Rattus norvegicus: one gene and its partners. The protein of the gene in region 4 purifies or fractionates together with the protein of the main gene of each other region. This does not show direct contact. Links are inferred from orthologs where the notes say so. Each region holds a gene or a part of one and is shown on either strand. Other genes may lie near its edges. The genes, in order: Aar2, Sf3b4, Ttc27, Eftud2, Ppih, Prpf4 and Tssc4.

Region 1 (3,500 bases), on a different chromosome or scaffold from region 4:
GAGATCTACCTGTCTCTGCCTTCCCTGTGCTGGGATTCAAGATGTATGCCACCTATGCCTGGCATGGATATATTTTGCATATTGAAATGTTTAAGAGATAGAAAACAAGATTCCTAATCATGTTTAGCAAGATCCAGGGGTTACTCATATAACATAGTATGTCATGCATTACAATGCACCTAGTAAAGATTTATTTGTTATGTGCATTGGTGTTCTGTCCGAGCGTGAGGGTGCCACATCCTCTGGAACTGGTGCCACAGACAGCTGTGAGCTGCCATGTGGATGTAGGAATTGAACCAGGGTTCTTTGGAAGAGTAGTCAGTGCTGTTACCCACTGAACCAGCTCTCCAGCCCCATGATGCACCTATAAAATATCCATTTTATCATCAGTTCAGCCAGGGATATAAAAAGGTCTATAACCAAACTTGTCACCAACCTTCCCCACTAGGAAGTTATGTGATGCCCTGGACAGTTTATAGACAATAAGGACTGGCATTAGAGGTGTTACAGGGGCTGGGGAGCTGCTCAGTCAGGGAAATGCTTGTCTTGCAAAGAACATGGACCAGAGTCCGGACCCAGAACTGGAATTTAAAAAGCTGAAGTGGTGGTACACGTGCTCTCACCCCCAGCACTGGAGAGGCAGAGACAGGCAGATGCCTACCCAGGGTCTACTCCCAGCCAACCTAGTCTACTTGGTGAGTTCGAGGTCAATGAGAGGCCCTATCTCAAAAGAAGAAGGTCCGCAGAACTTAAGGAACAATACCCCAGAGGCTAACCTTTGGCTGCCATATGTGGCACGTGCACAAACACACACAGAGAGCATGCCAAAATGTTTGTTGTCACTAATGTTCAGAAATAGAAAGATGGCAGCTTTTCAACCCCTGAACTGAAAAGTCTAAGAATCTATGCTGGGTGCTGTCAAAGGTGATGAACTGTCTCCCACCACCTGCTGAGAGAGGAGGCAAATCTGGCAATTCTTGCACAATCCAACCCTGAACCCAGGCACCTTCACCACAGTGCTCAAGAGGCTCTATTTACAACAGGAACTAGGAGCGCCTATGGAGTGGCCACTGAGAACTAGTTGCACAGCTCTGGGCTATACAGTTGTAAAGCAGATGAGCGGTGATGGAAATGCTGACAGCACAGCACAGCACAGCACAGCACAGCACAGCACAGCACAGCACAGGACATTGCCCTCTAATCCTGTCCCTAGAAAACCCACATACACTCCTACAATATACCTCAACTGAAAAGACTGGCATACAAAGGATAAGAGAAATACATAGAAACACACAGGAAAAAGAGAAAAAAGAAAAGAAAAACTGCACTCAACCATGAAGATAGTTGTTTCTAGGTATAGGACTTAGAGTAAATTTTATTTTTATTCTGTGATAAGTACATATTATTTTAAAATTAAGAGTGTAAGCAGCAATAAAACTATAACAATTAAAATAAAAATAAAAGTCCTGGTCTAAGCCAGTAAAAAGAGAAACATTTTAAGAAGTCAAAAGCGAGGTACTCTCTTATTCTCTTTCCTCAGCCTTCTCTCCCCATTCCCCTCCCACCTCTGCCTTTCTCTGTCTCTATTCCCTCAACTCCCCTCCCCATGCCCTAAATAAACTCTGGTAAAAAAAAAAAAAAAAAAAATTCAAAAGCAAACTGAGATGTTAGGTGAAGGCTTCTAGGAACACAGATCAGGCCTAGCAACTAGGAGCCTTGGGCTCCAATCTCACCGTGACCACTATTGGTCAAATCCTTCCTCTTTGCAGGGGTAGGCTATGTCAGCAATTTTCAAACATGGGATTACGTACACAGGCTCATGTAAGATGCTCAAATCATTAGATAAGACAGCCAGCCAGCTAGACCCATTTTAGAGCTCTTGACTTAAAGTCTCTAGGCTACGGGTGAAGATGCATTCCAATGACTACTAGCAGTCCACCTCCTACCTCCTTTAAGAACACTGGGCAGATAAGCCAAGATGAGCCTCTATTCTAAGCACCCCCACTAGCATCCTCCCCCAAAGCCTAGCTCCTTCTTACCAAGGACATCCTGGGGGTTGCCAGGGAACTGCTTGCTGAGCACAGTCTCGAGGGCATAGCTCAAGTCCATGCTGTGCCTGGTGATCTCTGCTGGTGTGGCACCTGCTGGGAACATCTGAGTGGGCAGCTCTGAGAAGCGGATCTCTGTCCCCGCCCTGGGCTTCATCTCAGGCAGCCGGGCCAAGCCCTCTTGGTAGCTTCTGCACTCGGTGCCACAGAGCGGTAGGTTCTGTTCCACCCTGTCCTTGGTGTACCTCATGGAAAGCACGGGAAGCACATCTGAGAAGGCGCAGATCTGCCGGCTCTCAGGCTGCAGCTTCTCCATGGTGGCCTCACTGATGAAGTTGGTGAGTGAGATCCACTTCTTGAGTGTACCATATGGGTAAGGTCCCAGAAACTGGTCCAGCTCTGGGAGATTGGCTCTCATGGCTTCTACTTCAGCCTCTGGAGCTGGAGACAGGTCTACCTCTTCCTGAACTGCATTCCAGCGCAGGACTGTCAACTCCCGCTGCTTCAGGCTAAGAAAGAAGCCCATCCGAGGGCCCACCTCCCTGGGATTGGCCTTGTCCACAGAGCTGTAGTAAAGGAAGTGGACACCAGGGGGGATCATCTTCACACCCCGGAACTTGGGCCCCACCTCCCAGGAGTTGTAGTCAATGCCAAACTCTGTCCCCTTGGGCATGTTCAGAATGACCACAGTGGCTCCTTCAAAGAAGAGTTGCTTGGCTAACTCAGGATCCATCTGCATGGAAGCCATGAGGCCAGTGGAGGGTAACCAAAAGCAGGACTCTTTTTTTGTCTCCTAGAACAGCAGAGAGAGGCAGGGGGTGGGAGAGAGTGAATGAATATGAGTTGACCAGAATATGGGGAAAGGCTATTTTATTACTTGCACATTCTCTATATCAAATATTGAGTTAGATCCTGACAGAAATTAACTCCCTTTAATCCCCATGACAACCCTGCATCTGTCTAACAGATGAGGAAAATCAGGATCGAAGAGATTTGGGGGTGTGATTTAAGGAGCAATAGTCTTCATTCCACCACGCCAGGGGCATCCCTTAAAGACAGGTGGCCATACAGTACCAAATGCAAACCTGCCCGCTGGTACTGCAGGCTTGTGTCTACTGCCCATCAGATGTCTTTCTCTCAACAGCAGGGGAAGGTGGAAAAGGTTCAAATGGCTCATTTTAAACTAGAACAATGCAAAAGTCATCTTAAGCTACAATTCTACCTAAAACCTGCTACTGGAGAATACCATAAGATCTGTCAAAGACGACCAAATCAAACTGGCTACCTAATTTCCCATGAGCATCTAAAGTTAACAAAAAGTCTGAGGTGTGGAGGAGAGCTTTTCAAACTCCCTTCTTTCACTCATCAACAACCTCGTTGAAAATGAGGGAGAAGAAAGGGCTGGTTTCCTAGTTTAAAGACAACATGGCAGGGTGCAGTGGTACACACCTG
Region 2 (4,106 bases), on a different chromosome or scaffold from region 4:
TGACAATCTCTCTTTGCACCTTCCTTTGCCTCTCCCCAGATAGGCTCTTCAGCTCTCACAATCTCTGGCCTTCAAGATGAGCTGTCTCATCTTCAGGAACTATTAAGAAAATGGACACCAAGAATATCTCCGGAGGACCACAGCAAGAAAAGAGATCCAAATACTATCCTTTCTCAGATCTGCTGAAACTGCTAGCCATCTCAAAGGCAGGGCAGAGGGCGGGGGTTTGTTTCTGCTGATGTTTATGTCTGACCTTGGTGCTTCGGGTTTGGTATTCCAGTCTGTAAAGCTCACTTAGTAGGCCAGTTTCTGTAGATGGTGCTACCAACCTCCAGCTCTCCTGTCTCGTTTGGTTCCTGGAGCTATTTTTGTTTCTTGTGATTTGAAAAATAAGAAACAAAACCAATTCAGAATGATTGCCTTTTTTCGAGGCAATTCTGTGCCATTTGGATGGTTGTCAAAAGTATGATATCAGAGACCCTTTTCATCAGCCCCAGCAAGGTGTCCTAGAGACCTCATTCTCAACCCCTCAACACTACATTGAAATCTTTTCTTAGTCTTCTGTGGGAATGAGGTGAATAAGGGAGACACCTCCTCCTCCCACTGTATATTTTTGTAGCAGCATTTCTATTTAAGGAGTTCATTAAAGCACAGTATTTCTACACATTGCTGGTATTTTCTTGTATTGAATGAAGATCTCAGCAAAGCGGTGGTGGTTGTGGGGTAGTGTGAACTGAGAAAAGGACACTTATTATTGTAAGGAAATAAAGGATTGGCAGGGCTGGGCAGAATGCACATGAAATATTGGGAAAGCCCCCCCGCCCCACACACACATACGCACACACACCTTTTTTGAGACAAGGTCTCTCTGTATATCAGGCTAGCCTGGAATTTTTTTTTTTTTTTTTCCGAGACAGATTTTTCTGTGAGGCCATGGCTGTCCTGGATCTCGTTCTGTAGACCTGGCTAGCCTTTAGCTCAGAGATCCACACCTGCCTCTTAAAGCTTCAATACCTGCCTGTGAGCACCCTCGGTCTCAAATTTCCCAAGATTGGAGGAGCTCTGACACTTACGGGAAACCAAAATACCTCGAGCTCAAGCCTAGGCCGAGGGCGAATCTGCACGAGCGTTGTGGACCGAATTAAAAATAGGCTGTTTTCAAAGGCAGTCCTGGCCCTGGATATGGCGGGACTTTGCCTAGCACACGTCTCTGCGTCACAGAACATACAAAGCTTGGTTTAGCATTTCAATTTGCGCTTGGGGTGCAGTGTGATGCCCTAACAGTCTGGAAGCATTCAGGGCTTTAGTTAACTGTATCAAGACCGGCTGATTCACTTCTGTTCCACCCCGATTGCTGCGGCAGCTCCAGAGCACCTTTCCCTTCTGTCCGACACGAATCTGACTCCTAAGATGGCCGCGATCGCTTCCGGCTCCTCCCTTGTCGCCGGCCCCGCCCAATGTGAGCCTTGGCCCGGAAGTGGAAGTAGAAACTGAGGTCAGGGGGGCGGTGCTGCTGCTTAGAGACGGCGGGAGCCCTTTCGCCATGGCTGCCGGACCGATCTCCGAACGGAATCAGGGTAATTGGGAGAAAAGAGACCAAGATAGGGGCAGGGAAGTGAAGAGCTGATTAATGCCAGAAGCATTTCTGCTTGGGTGGGAGACGAGATCCCTCTGATGTGAGACCGACCTCTGGGCGCCTGGCTCGCCTCGAGGCCAAGTGGAGGCCCAGGCCTATGAAGAGTGATGCTTCTAGATCCATTCTCTTTAAATACTCCTCTACCAAGAAGACAAAATTCTCCGGAAATACAGGATCAGCAAGAATGCCAAATTAGACGTAGCGGATTTTTCTAGACTGTGGAAGCTGAGGGAATTTCGGGTCTTTAGTTAACGTTTTTGGTTTTTATTTTACTTTTCACTCTTGACCCTCTCCTTACCTCCTGCTTCTTCCCTTTAGATGCCACGGTGTACGTGGGAGGTCTAGACGAGAAAGTGAGCGAGCCACTGCTATGGGAGCTCTTTCTCCAGGCAGGGCCAGTGGTCAACACCCACATGCCAAAGGATAGAGTCACTGGCCAGCACCAAGGTGAGTACATGTCGAGAATTAACCCTGTATAGCGTTAACGGCCCCTGAAGAGTCACAACTCCAGTCACAACTACTTTGGAATGAGCAACCTAAAGGTTCTTTTCCCCCTTAAGCTTCAGTTCAGTTTTTGGAATAGTTTCTCTTAGCACTAGTTACTGGAACCATTCTCAAGTGAAGTAAGATTATTCTTCTGTCATGTTCTTTTTATTGTTTTATTTTCAAGACAGTGGTTCTCTGTGTAGTCCTTGGCTGTCCTGGAACATGCTCTGTAGACCAGGCTGGCCTCAAACTCAGGGCTCCACCTCTGCTCCAGCATGGTGGCATTAGAAGCATGAGCCCCCACCCAGCCCTTACCTGCTTTGTTCTTTGTGTTTGCAAACTGGTGAGTTAATGTTTGATTTTGAATCTCTTCACCTGAGTGGTCTTTTTTCATTGGTTTCCTAGGCTATGGCTTTGTTGAATTCTTGAGTGAGGAAGATGCTGACTATGCCATTAAGATTATGAACATGATCAAACTCTATGGGAAGCCAATACGGGTGAACAAAGCCTCGGCTCACAACAAAAACCTGGATGTAGGAGCCAACATTTTCATTGGAAATCTGGACCCAGAAATTGATGAGAAGTTGCTTTACGATACTTTTAGCGCCTTTGGAGTCATCTTACAGACCCCCAAGATTATGCGGGACCCTGACACAGGCAACTCCAAGGGTTACGCCTTCATTAATTTTGCTTCATTTGATGCTTCAGATGCAGCAATTGAGGCCATGAATGGGCAGTACCTGTGTAACCGCCCTATCACTGTGTCTTATGCCTTCAAGAAGGACTCTAAGGGTGAACGACATGGCTCAGCAGCTGAACGACTTCTGGCAGCCCAGAACCCGCTGTCTCAGGCTGACCGCCCTCATCAGCTGTTTGCCGATGCACCCCCTCCACCCTCTGCCCCCAATCCTGTGGTTTCATCCCTGGGTTCTGGGCTTCCTCCACCAGGTACAGCTTGTAGTTCAGACTATGCCAGTGAGGCCCATGGGAGGGAGGTCAGGGGGCAGAGGAAGCCCTGGAAGAGTAAGCTGTGAAGTCAGTGGGCAGTGAGGGAGGAGTGAGGATGCTGGTGGGAGGGAAGAAGTTGGTGCATGTCCTTAGGAAGCTGGAGTGTAGCATGCTGGGAAAGACATTCTGTCCGATACCACTAATTGTCCTTCATTTCTTAAACAGGAATGCCACCTCCTGGTTCGTTCCCACCTCCAGTGCCACCTCCTGGGGCCCTTCCTCCTGGGATACCCCCAGCAATGCCCCCACCACCTATGCCACCTGGGGCTGGAGGACATGGTCCCCCAGCAGCAGGAACTCCAGGGGCTGGACATCCTGGTCATGGACATTCACATCCTCATCCATTCCCACCAGGTGGGATGCCCCATCCAGGTAAGTGCGCTGAGCTTGTAGAGGGGCCTTTGTACTGCTTCTCCCAGTGCTCTTTGTCTTGGGTGGAAATAGTCCAGAGTCCTTTTCTTCAGAAAACAAACAATACTTTGTACATGTTGGTGTGCTCCTGTGTTATCTCCACCTATAGCTTGTGCTTGGCAAAAGCTCTCAACCTCTCCTCTGCTTCCAAGGTTGCCAAATCTAGAAGACATTTCTGCTTTTGGTTTTTCGAGACAGGGTTTCTCTGTGTAAACCTTGCTGTTCTGGAACTCCCCCTGTAGACCAGGTTACCCTTAAACTCAGGGATCCTCCTGCCTCTGCCTCCCAAGTGCTGGGATTAAAGGCATATGTATTTTTAGATTTTCTAATGTCAACTTTAGCAACCTGGATCAATTCCTTTTTTATGTATGTGTAGATTTCGTGCTTGGTTCTCTTTTCTGTGTTTATCTGTAGTGTTAAATGTGAAGGTTATGATTTATTCTGGGTCTCTGTTCTGAGGTTCTTGGTAGACTAGAAAAGGCTGCTGCTCAACCCACAGTTTACTTTTCTCTTTCCAACACCATCTTCAATGGCTCTCACTTGTAGGAGCCCAGTCCACAACTCT
Region 3 (4,229 bases), on a different chromosome or scaffold from region 4:
AAAGAAGAGCCAAGCAGTGCCACACCTTTAATCCCAGCACTGAAGAGGAGTTAGAAGTATCTATGAATTTGAGGTTAGCCTGGTCTACAGAGTGAGTTCCAATTAGAGCCAGGGCTATATAGAGAAACCCCATATTGAAAAAAAAAAAAAAACAAACAAACCAGGGCTGGAGAGATGGCTCAGTGGTTAAGAGCACTGACTGCTGTCCCAGAGGTCCTGAGTTCAATTCCCAGCAACCACATGGTGGCTCACAACCATCTGTACTCACTGTCACTAAATAAGTAATTTTTTTAAAAAGAAAAACCAAACCAACCAACCAACCAACCAAAAAAAGTTCTGAAGCTGGGTTTGGTGACAAACCACTCTCCAATCTCTGTGCTTCAGTACTCCAGCGCTCCCAACAGGCAGATCTCTGTCACTCTGAGGCCAGCCTTGGGCTGGACCGGCTGCTGTTGTTTTTCAACAGTGAAGCAGAATGAGAAAGAAAACATTTATCCTCTTTAAAATAAGAGGCAAATAGCAAACCTCCTGCCCAGCAGCTGCCACACTGGTGGGATGATATATTTTCTTGTAGTTTTTTTTTTTCCACTTCAGCAAAGTGTTCTGGGTTCTAACGACTGAATTGCAGAAATTTTTAGGTTCTTTTCAGGTTTATGTGATGACAGTATCAAAATCAGACCTTTCTTTCCCTTTTCTTATTTGGTTTTTCAAGATTAAGGTCTCTGTAGCCTTGGCTGTCCTGGAACTAGCTCTGTATAGCAGGCTGGTCTTGAACTCAGGGATCTGCCTGCCTTTGCTCTGCTCTGGAGTGCTGGAATTAAAGGGGTGCACCGCCACTCTCTTTTTTAATTTTATGTGTATGTGTATTTTACGTGCATTTTGCTTGCAGGTATGTTCGTGTACCATTTACATGTCACGTGCTTGGAAGGCTAGAGGAGGGTAACCAATCTTCTAGAGGCTTAGAGGAGGCTGGCTTGGCACTAAGGGTGAAGCTCAGGCTGGCCTTGAAGCTGAAACCATCCTTCCCCATCCTCCTCAGTGCTAAGATTATACTTCCAGCTTGGGTTTTCTTGCACTTTGAATCATCCAGAGGATAGCCTATGCCGACGAAGTAAGTTCTAGTCTGGGGCTCAAGGGCTCCACTAGAAGCAACTTCTGCAGTCTGCTCCCCGTCTGTTGAGAGAAAAGCCTCGGTGTATTAACCTCCAAGGGCTTAGTTTTGCCTCACGTAGTCGCATATTTTCAAGCAGATTTGCCTCCACTCATCTCTCCTAGAAACAACCCTTGGCCACTGGGATCACTGCACGCGGAGCCACTCAACTCATTCCCACTACCCGGATCCCGCTAGAGTTATGCTCTGCGCATGCTCACAACTGAGTTTCCGATTGGTCGTATAGAAGGAAGCTGCTCCAGCGTGGGTTTGTTTTCCCAGGATTCCCTGCGCTGCTGTCATGTCTGCCTCCATGTACATGGATCCTCACATGGGACTCTAGGCTTGTGTCTTTACTCTACCTGTCCTGACTAGACGCCGGCGACATTGGACCCTCTCACTTTCGCTTTTCTCCTCCCTCGTGGGACACTGTACGGGGTGCAGCGATGCCGGGGGTGATATGGACGCCGGAGCTGGCGCTTCTGAGGGGCTTCTCCACGGAGGCAGAGCGGCTGTTATGGAAACAGGAGGGCATCTGTGGTTCAGGTGAGAGAGCTGTACCTTCGCGGAGTTAGGCTAGTGCCAGAGCTGTGAGGACAAAGGATGCTAGCCCTCGATACATAGGAGGTGTCAGGAGGGAGGAAGTTTCGCTTGATGGTCTGAGATCTGGTAGTCTGGCAAAAGTTTCCGACAGACAGACTTGAGCTGATTTTTAAATTTAGAACTGACGAGTAAAAGAGAGTTTAGCAGGAAGCAAGCAAGCAAGCAAGCAAACAAACCAGTGTTGTAAAAATGTCGAGGCCAACGTGTGCCTGGGGAAATATGAGGGGATCATGAGAGAACCGATGTGTTTGGATTGGCTTCCTGGGGGAGAATATTGAAGGTAGGAAGGAAAGCTTTCCTGTGTCACTTAGAATATTTGTGAATTTCCTGAAGAAGGAATTCCTATCTTCACCATCACCATCACCATCACCATCTGCTGCTCATAGTCTTTCTAGGTATCATATAATTGTAGGAAAGATGATGTTTGTTGGCAGAATTAGAGTGTGCAGCCACTATTCTATCTTTTTGCATATTAAGATATTTATGTAATGGATTATCATTTACACTTAAATTCTCTTGTGTTACTGAACTCACTTTTTATATTACAGATATTGGAGTTTTCTTAGAATTGCTGTTAGAAGGGAGCTATGAGGCCTTGTTCCTGCATTCAACAACACAGAATATTTTAAATTCAACAATGATGGCCGAAGAAAAGATTGACAGCTACCTGGAGAAGCAGATAGTGAATTTCCTGGATTGCTCTACGGATTTGGAAGAAATTGAAAGGTAGAATTTTATTTGAAATTTCTACAGAGAAACACACTGGGTGGGGGCTGGAGATGTGGTTTAGAGGTTAAGAGCATTTACTGCTATTTCAGAGGACCCAAGTTCAATTCTCAGCATCCACTTGGTGGCTCACCACTGTATAACTCTAGTTCTAGGAGATCCAACACCCTCTTCTGACACCAGTGGGCACTAAGTACATGTGTAGTATGTATGTATACACCTAGGCAAAACACTCATATACTTCAAATAAATAAATAAATAAATATTGAATACTTTTGTGGCATCTTGACACTGGAAGGCCCTGGTATCTAGTAGTTGTTGAAATACCTGGACTCACGATGTGCCAAGTAGTCTCCGTAAGGTCTCTCTCTGGTCCAGAAGATCTTCTAGAATGGAAAAGGAGAGTGGTGTAGGATCGAAGTGAGTTTTGTACAAGAATGACATGTCCTTGGTGGTCACTGCTAAATGTCCCAATGCTTATGTCTGATAAGTATTAGCTATCAGCTTGTTTCCTTTGATGTTGCTTGCTGTTGGTTTTTTTTTTTTTTTTTTTTTCCGTTTTGTTTTGAGACAGGGTCTCACTATGTAGCGTTGGCCTACAACTCACTCTAGACCAGGCTGGCCTCAAACGCCCAGAGTTCTATGTCCTCTGTCTCTCACAGGCTGGGACGAGAGGCATCTACTTTAAAATTTCTTAAACGTGTAGCCCGTACCTTGGATCTTGCTGTTTCTAGGTTCCTGAGAGATGCTTGCATTTACGTTTACTGTGTTTTGGGTCGTTATCTCTGGAGATATCAGGGAACTCCATGTGTTTATCATAGATCCCTCAGTTACCATTCTTCCGTTAGGATATCTACACATGAGTCAACTCTCAGCCTTCTGGAGGCCTCTGTCTCATTGTCCTATGTTTGTTAGCTTTCCCCTTCTCAGCTGTCCAAAATTCTTTTTTTTTTTTTTTTTCCTTTTCTTTTTTTTTGGAGCTGGGGACCGAACCCAGGGCCTTGCGCTTGCTGGGCAAGCGCCCTACCACTGAGCTAAATCCCCAACCCTCCAAAATTCTTAACCATTTAGAGTGCATACAGTTTCATTCTATCCTGATGTTTGCAGACTCGTTTCATATAGTCCTTCGACGAATTAAACCAAGTACCTGCTGAGGTTGGGTTGTAAAAATAAATAAAGATGTAACTCATAGTCGTAAGTAGTTTGGCGATGATGTTACTGTTTATTTGCAAGCTAATACAATTCTGTCTCAGTTTTTCTAATTTTTGCTAGTGTCATTCTTGGTTTTGTTGTTGTTTGTGACTGTGTCTTGCTGTATTACTCATTTGGCCGGAAGCTTGCAGTAAAAAACTTCAGGCTGGCTTCTAATGCATAATCTTTTTGTTGTAGCTTCCCAAATTTGGGAAGTATAGGTATACACCACCATGGCCAGCTTATTTCTTCTTCTTCTTTTTTTCTTTCTTCTTTTGTTACTGGAGTTGAGCCTCCAGCTTCTCACTTACTAGACACACATTCTAGCACTGAGCTGTATCCCTGGCCCTTTTTTATGCTTTTTATTTTGAGGCAGGGTCTTACTAAGTTGTCCAGGGTGGCTTTGAACTTGTGATCCTCTTGCCTCAGCCTCCAGTGGGGATTGCAGGCTTCAGCGTCAGGCCTGGCTTTCTTCTTGGTCCCTGTTGGTTGGCTGCTGTGTTTGTACTGTGTGAAGTTAGCCTTGTGGTGCCCATTCTCACCCCCCTCTTCCTTTCCT
Region 4 (3,500 bases):
GCTCTTCTTCTGAGGCCTTATGAAGTTCTAAGGCTCAGTGGGTGGGTGGGGACACTACTATAACCCTTCCCTGCATGCTCTTGTGGAACCCTTACAACATTCCAGCCACTCAAATGCCTGAGTCGTGTGTTTACATCTAGACAGAGAAAGGGAAATTGAACCTTACTCTGGTTTTATAACCTTTATTTCCTGAGGGAGGACTTTCCAAGAGAGAGTTCATCTTTCATTGAAAACTAATCTTGTGGCTTCTGTGTTAATCCTTCGCTGTCCCATAATTCTCTTTGTTTTTCTCTACCTTCCTTCATGTCTGAACTATGTGGTGCATTGGGAGCTTGGGGAGAATGGCACAGATTTTGCTCCCACAATTGCAGGTCTTACCCATCTCTTTTTTTTTCAGACCTGTTTTGTAGATTGTTTAATAGAACAGACGCATCCGGAAATCAGAAAGCGCTATGATCAAGATGTAAGTAGAACTTGGGCTGAACTGTCGGGAATGAAGCGGGATGCCTTGCTCCCTCCAGTCCCTTACCTGCACTCATCAATAGAGGTGTCTTTAGACTGCTGCTGTGATTGGAATCTATTAATAGGCGTAAGCAGATAATTTGAGCTTTCTCGAGCATGGAGAATGTTAACCTGCAGTATTTTTAGGTGATCTGTTCTGCATTTGGGATCCCTCCTCAGGCTGTATCCTGACTTTTACAGTCTCTTTTCTATCATTTTATTAACAGCCTGCTCTATAAATATCTCACAGTCGGGCCTTGTTATTTTCATGGTAAATTTAAATGCCTGTGAACAAGGCCAACTGTGGCAGCAACTCTCAGTGCAATAAATGTTCATACTCAGCCAAATTGACTGTTTGACGTGTGAGACTTGGAGGCTCCTAAGATCCAGTGTAGTGTGTACAGCCTAGCTCTCCAGCCACACGTGATTGTAGTGTCCACTTACTCCCACCCCTGCATCTCCATCTGGGAGGGCACTGGTCTCGCTGAGTGGGTTGCTGTGGGGACACTGCTGTCTTCAGTCAGTTTTCCTCCTGAGGGAAGCACCTGGAGTTGGGAGGAGGCGAGGAGGTTGATTGATGGTCTGCGTATGGGAGAGAAGTCTGAGCTCGGGCGCTGACATCATGATTGTTTTTCAGCTATGCTATACTGACATCCTCTTCACAGAACAAGAGGTAAGTGAGTCGTGGGAAATCAGACTCTGCCTACACAGACCCACCAGCCGTAGGTTTGTAGAGGATAGGAGCCTTCACCGGAGCACTGCCATTTAGCCTTGCTCTGCACTTCTCTCTCGCTGCTCTCAGTCATCCCACAGTGAGAACTGGGAAGGCAGGCTGAGTACAGGTGCGAGCCTCCCAGTCCTCGAGTAGATGATGATGAGAGCTGATGCTCGTATTTGTAAAACTCCACACGATCTTTTCAGTATCCCACAGTCCCTAAAATGTCTCCGGTGGGACCATCTGCTTCCAGGAGGGGCTTCTCTGTGAAGGGCTGTAGTCCTGTGTGCCACTTGTCTCTTTCAGCCTGGATCTGTCCCCTCCTTTATAATCTGTCCCTTTTTTCCCTAACGAACTATGTGGAAGGCTCTCACATGTGCACAGGGTTAACTAAAGGAATTTAGGGCAGTGTTGCCCAGGATAAGCCATCCTAACAGCAGCGTTAGTGTTTTTGACAGTCACTGTTTGAGTGTGGTGGGATTTTGTCTGGGTTGTTTTTTTCTATTGTCCATGCTGGCCTCAGACTCAACATGATGTGCTGCGGCCTCCCAGTGCCTGTCACAGACCTCACTGTGGAGTTTTGGAAGTTTTTCCCTTTTTCTTATTTTTTTGGGGGGTGTGTGGGGAGTTGTGAGTGAGATGGGGTCTCTCTATGTAGTGCTGTCTTGGAATTTGCTATGTAAACCAGGCTGGCCTTGAACTCACAGACATCCTCCCGCCTCTGCCTCCTGAGTGTTGGGATTAAAGGTGCACAGTGTGAGTGCCTAGCTTTTCTCCCTTTTAAAATACTTACTTCCTTTTAGAACCTTTAAGTATTTCTTTCCTTTAAAAACAAAAACAAACGCCCTCAGCCCAGATTATTTCTTTTTTTTTTTTTTTTTCTTTTTTTTGGAGCTGGGGACCGAACCCAGGGCCTTGCGCTTGCTAGGCAAGTGCTCTACCACTGAGCTAAATCCCCAATCCCCCTTCTTTTTATTTTTATGATGCTCATGGGCTTTGTTTCCAAGGAAGGACCTGGGGTCTTTGCGCTTACGTCACTGCTTTGCTCTTCTCATTTCCCTTCGTAACTAATCACCCTGCAGTATGGGGAGATGCACCATCTTGCTGATGGACAGGTAGAACAGACCTGTAATCGCAGCTCCTGAAAAGGCCCATTGGAAGTTCAAAGCCATCTTTGTGGAGTGGCTTCTGCCTTTAATCCCAGGACTAGGAGGCAGGGGCAAGTGGATGGATCGCTGAGTTTGAGGCCAGCCAGGAAGGAAGTTGCTCAAAGTCTACCAGGGGTACAGAATTAGGATGATGTCAGCCTCAACAATTTAGTGAGACTTTGTCTCAAAACATTAGAGCTGAGGTTACTGATCACCTAGCATGTGAGAGACCCATGTTCAGTCCTATTGAATTCTTTCCCCTGCCCCCCAAAACATTAGTTTTGGGGCCAGAGATGTAAGTCTGTGGTAGAATACTTGCTTAGTATATACAGGCTAAGCAAAAAAAAAAAGGGGGGGGTGAGTGCACAGGCCTCTAATCAGAGACAGGGGGATCTCTCAGTTTGAGAGCAGCCTGGTCTACACAGAGAAACCCTGTCTTAAAAACAAAAAGCAAGGGCTGGAGAGATGGCTCAGCGGTTAAGAGCACCCAACTGCTCTTCCAGAGGTCCTGAGTTCAATTCCCAGCAACCACATGGTGGCTCACAACCATCTGTAAAGAGATCCGATGCCCTCTTCTGGTGTATCTGAAGACAGCTACAGTGTACTTATATATAATAAATAAATCTTTAAAAAAACAAAACAAAAAACAAGCCAAACAAACAAAATCTGTGTGTCTGTATGTCTGTGTGTGAATGTTTTCTATCAACAAAATCATGGCAGATAGAGTTCTAGATAAAAAGAATTACTCTAAGCAGCTACAAGGAGGGTGTCTGACGTAAGCAGCTGGCAACTGCTAACCCCAGAGCTGAGTGACTCCTCCGGCTCGGGGAGAAGTCCTGAGCATCTGTCTGGATTTCAGAGAGGCGTCGGCATCAAGAGTACTCCTGTGACGGTGGTGCTGCCGGACACCAAAGGGAAGTCTTACCTCTTCAACATCATGGACACACCAGGTGGGTGGGCCCTGCCCTGTCACGGCCTCATCCGGTTCCTCTGCTCCATTTCCCAGGGCACTACAGGGTGTTGCTAATGTTTATTCTCGTTCAAGGGTTCCCTTCCCTGTGACTCAGCAGCAGTTTCCTGCCCTTGGCTTCACTTCCATCTTTATTTTGCCATAGGGTTTAAATTTTAGGGACTTT
Region 5 (3,952 bases), on a different chromosome or scaffold from region 4:
TAAAAAAAATTTTTTAAGTCCCCAAATAAACACATACTTGAATAAGGACAATAAGAGATTAACTGGAAAGTGAAATTACTAGCACAAAGGTTTTAAAACCTGAAACTTTCTATATCAAATGAGCTAAAAGCTTGTGACAGAAATGAGTCTAGAAACCTATCCCATGGGCAAATACCAATCCCTGACACTATTAATGATACTACTCTATTATGCTTGCAGGCAGGAGCTTAGCATGGCTGTTCTCTGAGAGACACTCTACCCAGCAGCTGACTCAGAAGGATGCAGAGAACCATGGCCAAACATTGGATGGAGCTTGGGGACTCTTAAGGAAGAGTTGGGGGAAGTGTTGAGGGCCTCTGAGGGGATAGGAACTCCACAGGAAAACTAACGGTCAACTAACATTGATCTTTTGGGGCTCTCAGAGACGGAACCACCAGCCAAAGAACATACACAGGATGGACCTAGACACACACGCACACGCACACAGTGCAGATGTGCAGCTCAGTCTTCATGTGAGTCCAGAATAACTGGAGTAGAGGCTATCCCAAAAGATGCCTGGCTGTTTCTTCTAGCTGGGCTGCCTTGTCTGGACTCAGTGGGAGAGAGTGGGCCTAACCTACAGAGACTTGATGGGGGTGGGGGATAACCAGAGGAGATCTCTACCCTCTCAGAAGAAAAGGTAAAGAGGGAATGGGGGAGAAATTGTAGGAGGGGGTAACCAGGAGAGGGGGCAGCGATCTCGGGGTGTAAAGTGAATCGATTAAAAAATAAAAACATTTTACAATCATAAAAAAGAATGAAATTACATTTCCAGCATCGCGACTTCGTCAACCCTACATAACATACCATTTTAAAATATGGAATGTGACCCAGAGGGTCCTCCTCTCATGGGCTGTAACAGAGGACACCAAGTGTGACTGCTCGGGAAAAGCTGTCTGCAAAAGATTCATTTGTATTACGCTAATACAGTCAAGAGAGTGGAGAAGCCCATAGACTTTGATAAAGACGCCTGCGCTCCTTCCCGCAGCTCGGACCAACTCAGCTAAAATTCCCTCAGTACCTGCCACACTTCCGGGGCGGGGCGCAACCGCGGACTGTTTCCACTGCGTCTGCGTTTCCGATGAAGTTCGCGGGACCTGTCACCGGAAGTTAGGCTTCTACTTCCGAGTCAAAGCCATGGCGGTGGCAAATTCAAGTCCCGTCAATCCAGTGGTCTTCTTTGATGTCAGTATTGGCGGCCAGGTGAGATGCGGGCGGCCCAGCGGGCCTGTGCGGGCTGACTGGACTCGGGTAAAGGAGGCAGCCGAGGGGGCCCTTCTAGCCCTCCCGAGATAGGCTGGGTCAGGCGGTGGAGGTGGGAGCTTCCGAGCTGCATGGACAGCGGTCGTGGGCTGAGTATTGCATCTCCCGTTTCTTGCAGGAAGTTGGTCGCATGAAGATCGAGCTCTTTGCAGACGTGGTGCCTAAGACGGCAGAGAACTTTAGGTAAAGATATGTATGCTCCAAGTGAACCAGAGCTGAGCCCTCGGTTCAGTCTTTGCCTTGTCTGCCTCTGTTCATTTATTCATTGCCTTAGAGTAGTGCTCTGGGTATTGCACTGGCCAAATAGCTACCGACTTTGACCGATCCCATATCAACTTAAATCACTAGTCTACGTGCCCTGACATCTGCCCGATCAGTTAGTTAGTGGGCATGCTGGCCCCAGTGTTTGAACTCTCCTCTCCAGAGATTAGAGGTGCTCCAAGCAGTGATGGTACGGCGGCTGAATCGTTCACTGTTTCTTTCTTGATTTCTTTCTTTTTAGGCAGTTCTGCACTGGAGAATTCAGGTCAGTCTCAGATGTGTTTGACTTCTCCACCAACTCCTGAAGGGTGACCTGGACGTTTGGTGAGGGTATTGGAGAACCATGAACAGGTCTCTAGTAATGAAAGATGATATGCAGAGAGAAGATGACTCCTTGGATGTGTTCTTTATCTCTTCTCCCATCCAGATCTTAGTGAGAGTCCTCTTAGCCTCTCGTGCATCCTAAATGGGGAAGACCCACGTTTATTTTTCATCATTCCTAGTGTCTTCCTTTGTGTTTACAGAAAAGACGGCGTTCCGATAGGATACAAAGGAAGCACCTTCCACAGGTAAGGAAGGCTTTTGGCAAACTGGAAATGCAGTCATCTCTTGGTATCTGTACAGGCAGTCCTGTACACCTGAATCCAAAACCTGTGGAGGATTAAGTCTGTTGTTTAAATGGCATGTTCAGGGCTGAGGCTGTAGCTTGGTAGAGAATTTGCCCAGCATTCATAAGACCCTGGATTCGGTACTCAGCACCATGTAGTCTGTGCACAGTGCCTTAAGTCATGCCTGACTTTATGTCATATTGATTGTAGAAACAGTGCCAGGGAAAGCACTCTGTACCTACTCAGTACCTGTTCAGTACAGGAGCATGTCCACATGTTCCTAGAGATCTAAACTCAGATCCTTAGGCTGCACAGCAAGCACTTTACCCGCTGAACCCTCCCTGGTTCTGGGTTATGACTTAGCAGAGACTTTGCGGTAACCACTGTTACCAGGCAGTCGTCTGTAGGAACCTGACCTTCACGATCTCCTGGCTTTCTATGTTTACTTATGAGTTTGACAGAAGTTGCTCCATTTTAATCCTGAAAATGTCCATTGTCTCCCATATCAAGGGTTTTAGAGCTGCAGTCTGTAATCCTCCCCTGGCATTCTTGTGAGGTGTTATGATGTGTTTTCTGAATTCTGCAAGGTAGGGAAAAGAGGCTAAGCAAAGCTAAGGACCTGGGTACACTAGCTGACATCATCCTCGAGTTTCAGTGTGTGCAGCAGTCCATTCACGTTGTGTTCTCTTTCCCCAAAGTGAGGTGGTTTTTTGATGATGTTGTTTTGTTTTCCTTTGGTGACTGTAGGTGTGTCTCTGCCAGGTTTTCAGTTCCTTTCTGTTGTTGAGGTGCTGACTCATACACCTGAGGGCAACTTAAAAGGGGCCCCTGAGTTAAAACTGTTAATCCCTCAGCTGGCTCACCCCAGGGACAAAGACTTTCTCTAAGCCTCAGTGATAAACACTGAACTCCAGAAGACATGCTAATCTACCACTTCAGTGGCTGAACCACTGAATCTTCCCTCAGGATTTTTTTTAACTCTCTTTCAGGGTCATAAAGGATTTCATGATTCAGGGTGGAGATTTTGTTAATGTAAGTACTGCTTTTTTTCTTTGTTAATTTTTTTCCAGCAAGGCCCAGTCTTGAGATTTAAGAATAATAGCTAAGGGACGGAGAGATGGTCTAGCAGTTAAGAGTACTGACTGCTCTTCCACAGGTCCGGAGTTCAAATCTCAGCAACCACATGGTGGCTCACAACCCTCTGTAATGGGATCTGACGCCCTCTGTCAGTCACTATCTTGTTGCCTCATGACAAGGTTGCACTAGATGAAAAGCTGCTTGGTTCAGCTAGGACAGCTGGCTGGCTGGCTCCCCTTACCTGTGGACCATTCTCCCCGGCCTTATCATCTGGTTTCCAGGGTGCCCAACACTCCAGGCCACTGATGTGTCTCTTCTCTACTCAGGGCGATGGTACTGGAGTCGCCAGTATTTACCGGGGTCCATTTGCAGATGAAAATTTTAAACTTAGACACTCGGCTCCAGGCCTGCTTTCCATGGTAAGTGAGGTTCAGTTAAGATTTGGGGTTAGATTAGATTACTGACTGGTTTCTGGTGCCTTGACACCCAGTTCTGTCCCTTGGAATTAGGCCTCACCTGCACCTAGCCCCTCCTCCTTCCTCAGTGTGGTTTGATCTTGTTGGGTGGGCTTTCACAGCTGTAGAAAGCAGACTAAGCTCTGACTTGTGTTGTGCCTTTATATGTACCAAGACTGGGCTTTTGCCTCAGTGTTCAATGGGCTTCCACGGTTGGTGCTCACCTGTTGTTGCCCTGGTTGCCGTGAG
Region 6 (4,175 bases), on a different chromosome or scaffold from region 4:
AGACCACTAGAATAAAAAGTTGTGATAATGATCTTCGTGAAAGTTCCGCAAAAAAAAAGTTCCGATATAGTGTGCATCCATATAAATTATTATTGCATGCTAGCAGAATGAAACAAAAGACTACGATGTATACGAAACATTTACACTTCTTACACTTCTCTCAGGAGTGTCACATTATATCACATCTCAAGGGGCCATATGGTCAACACAAAACACTGGCCTGTGACAATTCAAACTGCTTTATTCTATCAGATACTACCTTCTACCAGATCCCTAAGTAGAGAAATGGAAGCCAGCTCCAAAGAGAAAGGGAAGAAATACTTAAGAAAAATAATTTCCTACTTGGGTATGAACTGAAAGCCTCACCACTAGAGAGCAACAGTGAGTACGGGTTAAAAGCGCGGCAGTCCACCCGCCACATTACTAACCCTACTACACTGTGGCTCCAGAACGACGGATTACCTTTTCTCACCAGAATTTATTTTCTGATCTTTACTCTTGTTGTCCCGCGACTTAAATAACTAAGATAGAATAAGCTCCTTGCGCGTAACGTGGCATTTAGTAAGCCCTCGAAGTGGAAGTGCTCTTCTAACTGGAGTTGTTCGGGGAAGAAAGAGGCTTAAGAGTGAGAATGAGTCTGTTCAGCTCAGCAAACGCGAATATTTTGCAATCCCCGCAACTTTCATGTAAGGGTTTAAAAAAAAAATATCTCTGACGGCCTAGCAATCATTGCAACTGCAGCTGCTGGTATACACTTTATCTGGCGCCTCCCTGGACCCTTTATTTCAAAGAACATATAAAAAGAACAGGCTGTAGACAAGTAAAACAACAACAAACTAGGCCGCAGCTCCTCCACCACATCTCTATTTTAGCCTTAGAAGGCTCTTCGAGTTTAATGTCTTCTTAAAGCACAAAATCACTTCGTAGCCACCCAGTTACCAGGGGCCCCCGGAGAACTTCCGTCGTGAACAACAGTCCTCTTTCCCAGCTCCAATGCTGCAGAAGTCTAGGGAGAGATTTCAATGGCAGCACAGGCCTCGGTTTCAAAATGACGGAAGGCCTCCCGAAGGAGAGCAGAGACCCTTGGTTTGTTCCAGATTAGACTTGCGATTCGCAAACTTACCTCTTTTCAGGCCTCTGAAGCTTCCCAGAACCTCAACTCCCACCTTGACTCCATTGCTACGCAGCCCGAACTACACTTCCCAAGTTGCTCTGCGCCTTTTTTTCCCACGCGCCTCTTCTCCCGAGAGGTTGTGCCGCTCTATAAGGCCACGCCCATCGATGACAGCCGACACTTGGCAACTACCACTCCCAAGATACTTCGCGACTCCTAGAGCACGAACTGGTACATTTCCGGCCAGTGACGCACTTCCACTTTGCTAGGCGCGCGGTTCCCGGTCTGAAAAGCAGAACGGGATTTGGCTAGGGCCTCGCGGCTCCAGAGCCCGGCATGGCCTCCTCACGAGCCTCCTCCACGGTACGGAGTTCCGCATCTAAGTTCATGCTTATCCTCTCCTAGGGAGGACGCGGTCCCCGTGGGAAAGGGCCGTTACCTTACGGGTCCGGGCAGAGGAGGAGGAGGAGGAAGGCTGGGGGACCGTGGTGTGGACCTTAGCAGCCTTTTCCTGATTTCTAAACGCCTAAACTGCAGCTCTTTTTGCACTGCTCTTACTTAAGCCCTGAGCAGTGAACAACACTTTTTCTGACTGCTCCAAAGCACAGTTCTTTGAAATCGGGCAGTGTCTTGACGTAAGCTGTACGACTGGTACTTATGAGGCCTCCCAACTTCTAATAGGCTCTGAAAGTATTTGAAATGTGTATTCCAGTAACATTGTGACTTGGTGCGCCGAATTGTTTGGGTTGTTTTGGGTGTATGTCCAGTGGCGAGAAGTTATTTTCGTAAAATCGGAGATTGCATTTCGAATAGATTAAAGTAACAGGCCCCAAAACAAACCAAGACATATCAGACAGAAATTGTTTAATTGTAATTGTGTGCCAAATTTAACGAGAGCGTGAGCTCGGCGCAAAGTCACTTTCGACTTTGTCCTAGTTGTGAGAGGAAATAAAATGAAGGCTCAGCATTTCCTTCATTCTTTTGGAAAGCATGGTTTGCTAGGACCAAACCTTAATCGGGGTCTTTGATTTAACAGACAACCAAAACTAAAGCACCTGACGATTTAGTTGCTCCTGTTGTGAAGAAACCACACATCTATTATGGAAGCTTGGAAGAGAAAGAGCGGGAACGCCTGGCCAAAGGAGAGTCTGGGATTTTGGGAAAAGAAGGACTCAAAGCCGGCATTGAAGCAGGAAATATTAATATAACGTCTGGTAAGATGCAAGTTGAAAATCACACACCCCCTCCCCCCCTTTTTTAACAGTGCTAGGAATCCAACCCAGGGTTTTTTGCATGCTAGGCAACTGTTCTGCCACTGAACCACATTCTCATCTTTCCACTACACTCTTGCCTGTGACCTCACACTGCTTCTGCCTCCTCCCTGGTACTAGAATCAGGTGTACACGACTGTGCCCCTCTGATGAGTCATGTTATAGGATCAAAACTTATTGGTCTGGGAAGCTACTTCAGGTGCCGAAAGCTTTTCTGTGTGACCATTAGGATCTGAGATTGAGCCCCAGAACTCACGTTTTTTGCTGGCTTGTTTTTTCTTTTTCTTTCTTTCTTTTTTTTTTTTTTAAAGCTCATTGTGGTGGAATCGAATGTTGGGGAGACATACCAACTTCCACATGCACATGCATACAACCTTACCCTTCTGTTTTTACCTCAATCTACTTTGCCTACCTGGCATTACCCAGCGAGTGGTTTTCTTACATTTTATACAGTTCCTTGCAGGAATTACTGGTTATCTGCATACTCAGTGGATGTTTGGGTTTGGATTCATCAGGTGTATTTGTCTTTGGGAGAGGTAATGTAGTTTTGGCATTAATGCATAACTGTTTATAGGATTCTCTCCTTTACTTTTGTGGGGTTTTTTGTTTGTGTTTTCATTTTCGTTTCTGGTTTTCGGGACAAGGTTTCTCTGTGTAGCCCTAGGCCAGGCTGGCCTCAGACTCAGAGGTCCACCTGCTGCTGTCTCCAGAGTGCTGGGATTGAAAACATGTGCCGCCAGCATCTGACTGATTTAACTAAGTAATTACGAGCATTTAAAAAAATCCTCACACTTTATCCATACACACTTCCACTATTCTTAATGTCTTCAAGCCTGTCTTCATTCCCAATGTGAGTGTTTGTTGTGAGTTTCAAAGCTAGTCACCATAGTACGCAAAAAGCCTTTCCTATTTGTCAGAGGAGTCCCGTGTTTCACGATCATTTTTTCCTCTCACTAGTTAATGTGTGTGAGGTACTGTTTCAGCAGATGGCAGGCAAGAAGCAACATCTCTGTCAGGCTTTCCAAATGAGAGATGTTCTAAGCCATGTAAAGAGATAATGAAATAAATGGAAGAGGTAGCCCGCATCTTCCTGCTCTCAGTCTAAAGCATCACTTAGGTTTATGTGTTTGCCATCATTTAATAAGCTGAGAGTGGTAAGCTTTAAAAAGTAAGATAGAAGGGTGTATATGTGCAGCTTTACATAGTTTACTTCTAAACACCGAAGGAAATTTGAGTGTTAATGAGATGGACATACTTACTTATTAATAAAGAAGTAAATCTTGCCTGAAATTTTAATATTACAAGTGAGAATATTTCAAATGTTTTTCATAGTACTTTGATTTTGTTTTTTTCTTTTTTTAATCAGCAGCTCAGATAGTGAATATTCTTGCTGTTAGCCCTTCCTTCTGTCCTTTCTCCCTGACAAGGTCTATATGACCCTCAGTCTCACCTTGTGGCCAAGTATGACATTGATCCGGTGGTCTCTGTGCTGCCTCTGTGTGCTGAACTTACAGGCACTGAGCTCTCACCCTGAGCTTCTCCCCATCTCTCTGTTATTGTGGCCAAACAGCGGTTTTAAATAATCAGACATTTTAACACAGTATAATCCAAAGATCAAACTATTTGATACTTGATGCTGAGGAAGTTAAATCTTTTCCTCATAACTGAATCATTATGTCTCTATAAGAGCAAAAAAACTTTGTACAATAAAGACATTGCAGTTCATCACATGGAATGGTCTCTGAGCCACTTTGGGGCAGGGTCTTCCTTAGCGTCTCATGGCATGGCAG
Region 7 (3,675 bases), on a different chromosome or scaffold from region 4:
AGGAGGAAAAAATCAGGCATGCTAATGGGACTGCCAGACCTCTTCCTGTGCCAGTGGTGTCAGAGACCTGGCTCGTCAGCTCTGAACTTTGCCAGGTACAGGGTGAGCAGGTCCAATAGAGCCTGTGGAACACAGTGGGTGGGGAGGGCTGGGACCCTGGGAGCACTCCATGTTGAGTACTCCCTCACTTCTGTACCTCCCTGTACTGGGAGCTCAATGCTGACCTAACACCAGCCTTGACCTCATTTCCACTCATCTGTTGGGAATGCCAGGTCGGCTGAGTCGGGTAGGAGGAGCCACAAGGCAGGGGAATCCAGCACAGAATGTTGGGGATAAACTGCAAGAACACTTTCCTTTTGAGGGACAAGACAGTAAAGGTTAGACCATTACCCCATCTCAGGTATCTAGGTGTTGGAAATATTCCACTGAGCTGGATGGTTCTAGCTTGTGTCTCAAGAAATAAAAGGCAGTCCGCTGAGCTCACCCCTGTGAACTGAGGATCAGGCTAAAGCAACCTCCTGGACACAAGGGGCAACCACCACTGTCTTTCTCTTTGACTCCTGTCTGCACCCCTCCCCCAGGCTGCTGGGTTAATTGGCCACTAGAGAGGAGAAGTCCTGGCTAAGATTCAGGTCCCAGCAGTAGGCTGATTTGTCGGTGAACCCCAAGCTTGTACTAGGGCATTCTAGGTCTCAGCCACCTCCACCCACCACGCCAGGGCAACCTGTTCCATGCTTGGCTGGCTTCTGAGGGAACCTTTATATTCTATGTTGTGAGGCCCATGGGCACCAGGCCAAGGCTGTTGGAAGCCTGTTGCACAGCTTCAAGAACATAGTAAAGGAGGAGAGAATGCAGCAGCCCAGTGGATCCTCAGACTCTGGTGTCTAAGGATGCAAGAAAACAGTCCCAGGCCTGGAGGAGGATTATGTGTGGCCTTGAATAGTAGGGTCAGCGTCCAGCACCTAAAGCGTCCGTCCGTGCCTGTGTCAGGAAGCACAGACAGGCAGTGCCCACGGTAACGGCCTCGAATCTATGAAGCCCCAACCAACCCATTACAAGGACCACCACGTCTCTATACGCCAAGAGCCAACCAGGACCTTGGTCCCGCCCAACTCCAGAAAGCCAACAAAGCACAAGACCCGCACCACTTCCGCCCAGGGCCGGAAGTGTCTGGGAAACTGGTTGTAGCTCGCAGTGCGTAGTGACGCACTTCCTCGTGTCGGACCCGGCCCAGGTGGCTTCCGACGGACGACGCTAGAAGCCTCAACCCTTTGCGATTGGCAGTTAACCCTAGAGTATTGTGGGAATCACGGCTCCGCCTTTTCCCCTTTCGTCATTTCTGGGTGGATTTCCGTGTGCGCTCCGGTCTTCGGGATGGCACACATGTTACAAGTCCCGGCAGGCATTAGGCAGTGACCCCATTGCCTTCTGGGAGTTGTAGTTTCTCGGGCGCTGAAGCCACAATATTCTGATAGCCCGAGACTCGGTTTCCCAGGAATCCAAGCGAGATTGAACAGGCCGGAATCCCGTGGAACTGGCGGGACGCTGCGGGAAAGGTGGCAGGTTATTGAAGCGTGTACGGATGCTGGAACGGTGAGCACTGGCCTCCCTAGGGCCGCGACCAGGCCAGTACCGTGCCTGTTTCTGCCACCTCCCCCTCCGGACCCCGGGTGGTGCCTTCAGTGTGTGCCCAGAGAGGCTGCGCTTTGCTAAGAGCTCGTGATGGGACGAGCCGCTGATGGAGATCCCCTGTCACCAGCATCTCCCAGCGCTCATCTATTGTATGTCCACACTGTTATGATCTCATGGTTGACTCTCTCCTTAACCCCACCTAACCTGCAGCTCCACATCTGTGCACGCTAGGATACCCTTTAGCCACCCAGCTTCGCGAGGCCTCCGGTCCGGTTGTGAGTAGAGGCGCCTGGCACACAGTGGAGGTGAAAGAGCCCGGGAGGGCGGGGAGGGGTGCGGCATTAGGTACACCCCTCACGGCAGAACTGGGACTGCCTTGCTACAGGTGGGACGGATGTCAGGTCTTATGGCGGAGACAGAGGCCGGCTTGGAGGTTGAGGAACCCACCGAGGATGACACCCTGCCTTCTGACACCGTCTCCCTCAGCGACTCGGACTCTGACCTCAGCTTACCTAGTGGTGTGGAGGTCCAAGCGTTGTCCCCAGAGAGGCTTTCTGGGGAGAGCCAGGAGGACTCGGGCCCTGATGACCCTCCCTCGCACCCCACGGGCATTCCCACCACTGCAGTGCAGCCGTTCCACCTCCGAGGCATGAGCTCCACTTTCTCCCAGCGGAGCCACAGCATCTTTGATTGTCTGGAGAGTGCAGCCCGGCAGGAACCGTGCTCTGCTCCCCAAACCAGTGTGGTTGACAATTGCAGCTTCAAGCGGCCTGTGGCTCCCCCAAGTCAGACTCCAGCAAGAAGCTTGAGCAGAGTGCATGGGAACACTGACCCGACCAGGGTACACCCTGTCCCTGACTATGTGTCACACCCTGAGCGTTGGACCAAATACAGTCTGGAAGATGTGTCTGAAACCAGTGAGCAGAGCAATCGTGATGCTGCCCTGGCCTTCCTGAGCTCTCGAAGCCAGGCATCCCCCACAGACTATGTGCCCTTTTTCAACCAGGACCCCTCTAGCTGTGGGGAGGGAAGAGTGGTCTTCACCAAACCAGTGCGGGGCAGCGAGGCTAGGGCTGAGAGGAAGAGGGTCCTAAAGAAGGGGGTTGTGTCAGGTGCAGGGGGTGAGGCCTCAGTGGAGCTAGCCCATCTCGCCGGGCCTGAGGCTGAGGAATGGAGTGGCCACCAGGGACAGCCAGAGGTGGTAGTGCCTTCAGAAGCTGCCCGTCCTGAGTCCTCATCAGGCCCCATAGGTATGAAAACTGTTGGTTTCCATGGCAGCAAGAAGCGGAGCAGAGACCACTTCCGGAACAGGGATAGTAACCCGGAGGGGCCAGGGTCTGAGAGAGGACCCTCAGTTTGACTGCAGTGCCATCGCTCTACCTCCTCACCTGCCCAGTCCAGGTGGGACAGTGTGGGCTCTCTGTAGTAGGGATGTGTGGGCCTCAACTCTGGCAGAGACTGGGAATTGTGGGTCAGGGGACCTTGAAGGCCTTTGTGCCCCATTGTTTGGGGTGAATAATAAAGGTTTTGAGTATTTACTGAATTTCGTGAATTTTTCTCGGCCCCACTCAAGAGTTATGTCCAAACAGTCCTGGGCAGCTAACTACAGGACTGCATCTCTACCAGCCTCATCCTGCCTTCCCCGCTCTAGTGAGGACCGCTGTGAAGGTTTGCCATGGGCATTGATGTTTGTCACTGGTAACCTACCCAGAGGGAGTGGGCTCGTAGCTGTGTTCAGCCTTGTGCCCCTGATGGTACTGGATGAGCATAATATGGTCCCCCTGCCCCCCAGAAACCAGTGCAGCCCCAGCACTGGGCCCGCACAGACCACGGGTTCTAGGAAGAGGATAAGTTGTGAGCCAGCAAATGGTTGGTGTCCGGGCTGTATGTCTCCAGGACTTGTGACCTCTGTATAAGACACAGCTGATGCTAGATCCTTCAGCTGAAGCTGGGCCAGGGAGGAGGAGAAGGATGCACGAGTGAGTATTTCATGTGGAGGCCAGGGACTTGGACCAAGTTAGCCAGCCTGGCCTGCTAAGCACC

Evidence for each region.
Region 1: the proteins of Eftud2 (region 4) and Aar2 purify together in Homo sapiens (affinity purification with mass spectrometry; 5 studies listed by BioGRID and IntAct, counting the BioPlex papers as one, with this or other methods). This does not show direct contact. The link is inferred for Rattus norvegicus from reciprocal best matches to the Homo sapiens genes EFTUD2 and AAR2.
Region 2: the proteins of Eftud2 (region 4) and Sf3b4 purify together in Homo sapiens (affinity purification with mass spectrometry; 3 studies listed by BioGRID and IntAct, with this or other methods). This does not show direct contact. The link is inferred for Rattus norvegicus from reciprocal best matches to the Homo sapiens genes EFTUD2 and SF3B4.
Region 3: the proteins of Eftud2 (region 4) and Ttc27 purify together in Homo sapiens (affinity purification with mass spectrometry; 5 studies listed by BioGRID and IntAct, with this or other methods). This does not show direct contact. The link is inferred for Rattus norvegicus from reciprocal best matches to the Homo sapiens genes EFTUD2 and TTC27.
Region 5: the proteins of Eftud2 (region 4) and Ppih purify together in Homo sapiens (affinity purification with mass spectrometry; 3 studies listed by BioGRID and IntAct, with this or other methods). This does not show direct contact. The link is inferred for Rattus norvegicus from reciprocal best matches to the Homo sapiens genes EFTUD2 and PPIH.
Region 6: the proteins of Eftud2 (region 4) and Prpf4 purify together in Homo sapiens (affinity purification with mass spectrometry; 4 studies listed by BioGRID and IntAct, with this or other methods). This does not show direct contact. The link is inferred for Rattus norvegicus from reciprocal best matches to the Homo sapiens genes EFTUD2 and PRPF4.
Region 7: the proteins of Eftud2 (region 4) and Tssc4 purify together in Homo sapiens (affinity purification with mass spectrometry; 4 studies listed by BioGRID and IntAct, counting the BioPlex papers as one, with this or other methods). This does not show direct contact. The link is inferred for Rattus norvegicus from reciprocal best matches to the Homo sapiens genes EFTUD2 and TSSC4.

The regions. Positions count from the first base shown.
Region 1 is NC_086021.1:165,520,524-165,524,023, reverse strand, and holds part of Aar2 (protein AAR2 homolog), read right to left. Parts: intron 2,842-3,500; coding exon of another isoform or gene 2,797-2,841; coding exon 2,040-2,796; intron 1-2,039. UniProt on the Homo sapiens protein: Component of the U5 snRNP complex that is required for spliceosome assembly and for pre-mRNA splicing.
Region 2 is NC_086020.1:186,420,361-186,424,466, forward strand, and holds the start of Sf3b4 (splicing factor 3B subunit 4), read left to right. Parts: upstream 1-1,306; 5' UTR 1,307-1,543; coding exon 1,544-1,577; intron 1,578-1,954; coding exon 1,955-2,083; intron 2,084-2,527; coding exon 2,528-3,070; intron 3,071-3,295; coding exon 3,296-3,502; intron 3,503-4,106. Other genes in the region: Mtmr11 (myotubularin-related protein 11), read left to right, coding at 40-186. UniProt on the Homo sapiens protein: Component of the 17S U2 SnRNP complex of the spliceosome, a large ribonucleoprotein complex that removes introns from transcribed pre-mRNAs.
Region 3 is NC_086024.1:26,451,237-26,455,465, reverse strand, and holds the start of Ttc27 (tetratricopeptide repeat protein 27), read left to right. Parts: upstream 1-1,429; 5' UTR 1,430-1,596; coding exon 1,597-1,696; intron 1,697-2,301; coding exon 2,302-2,479; intron 2,480-4,229.
Region 4 is NC_086028.1:88,332,658-88,336,157, reverse strand, and holds part of Eftud2 (116 kDa U5 small nuclear ribonucleoprotein component), read left to right. Parts: intron 1-397; coding exon 398-463; intron 464-1,138; coding exon 1,139-1,174; intron 1,175-3,223; coding exon 3,224-3,314; intron 3,315-3,500. UniProt on the Homo sapiens protein: Required for pre-mRNA splicing as component of the spliceosome, including pre-catalytic, catalytic and post-catalytic spliceosomal complexes. Component of the U5 snRNP and the U4/U6-U5 tri-snRNP complex, a building block of the spliceosome.
Region 5 is NC_086023.1:138,206,781-138,210,732, reverse strand, and holds the start of Ppih (peptidyl-prolyl cis-trans isomerase H), read left to right. Parts: upstream 1-1,152; 5' UTR 1,153-1,176; coding exon 1,177-1,242; intron 1,243-1,420; coding exon 1,421-1,485; intron 1,486-1,804; coding exon 1,805-1,828; intron 1,829-2,087; coding exon 2,088-2,132; intron 2,133-3,160; coding exon 3,161-3,203; intron 3,204-3,574; coding exon 3,575-3,667; intron 3,668-3,952. UniProt on the Homo sapiens protein: PPIase that catalyzes the cis-trans isomerization of proline imidic peptide bonds in oligopeptides and may therefore assist protein folding. Participates in pre-mRNA splicing.
Region 6 is NC_086023.1:80,874,136-80,878,310, forward strand, and holds the start of Prpf4 (U4/U6 small nuclear ribonucleoprotein Prp4), read left to right. Parts: upstream 1-1,375; 5' UTR 1,376-1,450; coding exon 1,451-1,477; intron 1,478-2,150; coding exon 2,151-2,328; intron 2,329-4,175. UniProt on the Homo sapiens protein: Plays a role in pre-mRNA splicing as component of the U4/U6-U5 tri-snRNP complex that is involved in spliceosome assembly, and as component of the precatalytic spliceosome (spliceosome B complex).
Region 7 is NC_086019.1:207,681,070-207,684,744, forward strand, and holds Tssc4 (U5 small nuclear ribonucleoprotein TSSC4), read left to right. Parts: upstream 1-1,475; 5' UTR 1,476-1,593; intron 1,594-1,842; 5' UTR 1,843-1,907; exon of another isoform or gene 1,908-2,017; 5' UTR 2,018-2,026; coding exon 2,027-2,992; 3' UTR 2,993-3,175; downstream 3,176-3,675. UniProt on the Homo sapiens protein: Protein associated with the U5 snRNP, during its maturation and its post-splicing recycling and which is required for spliceosomal tri-snRNP complex assembly in the nucleus.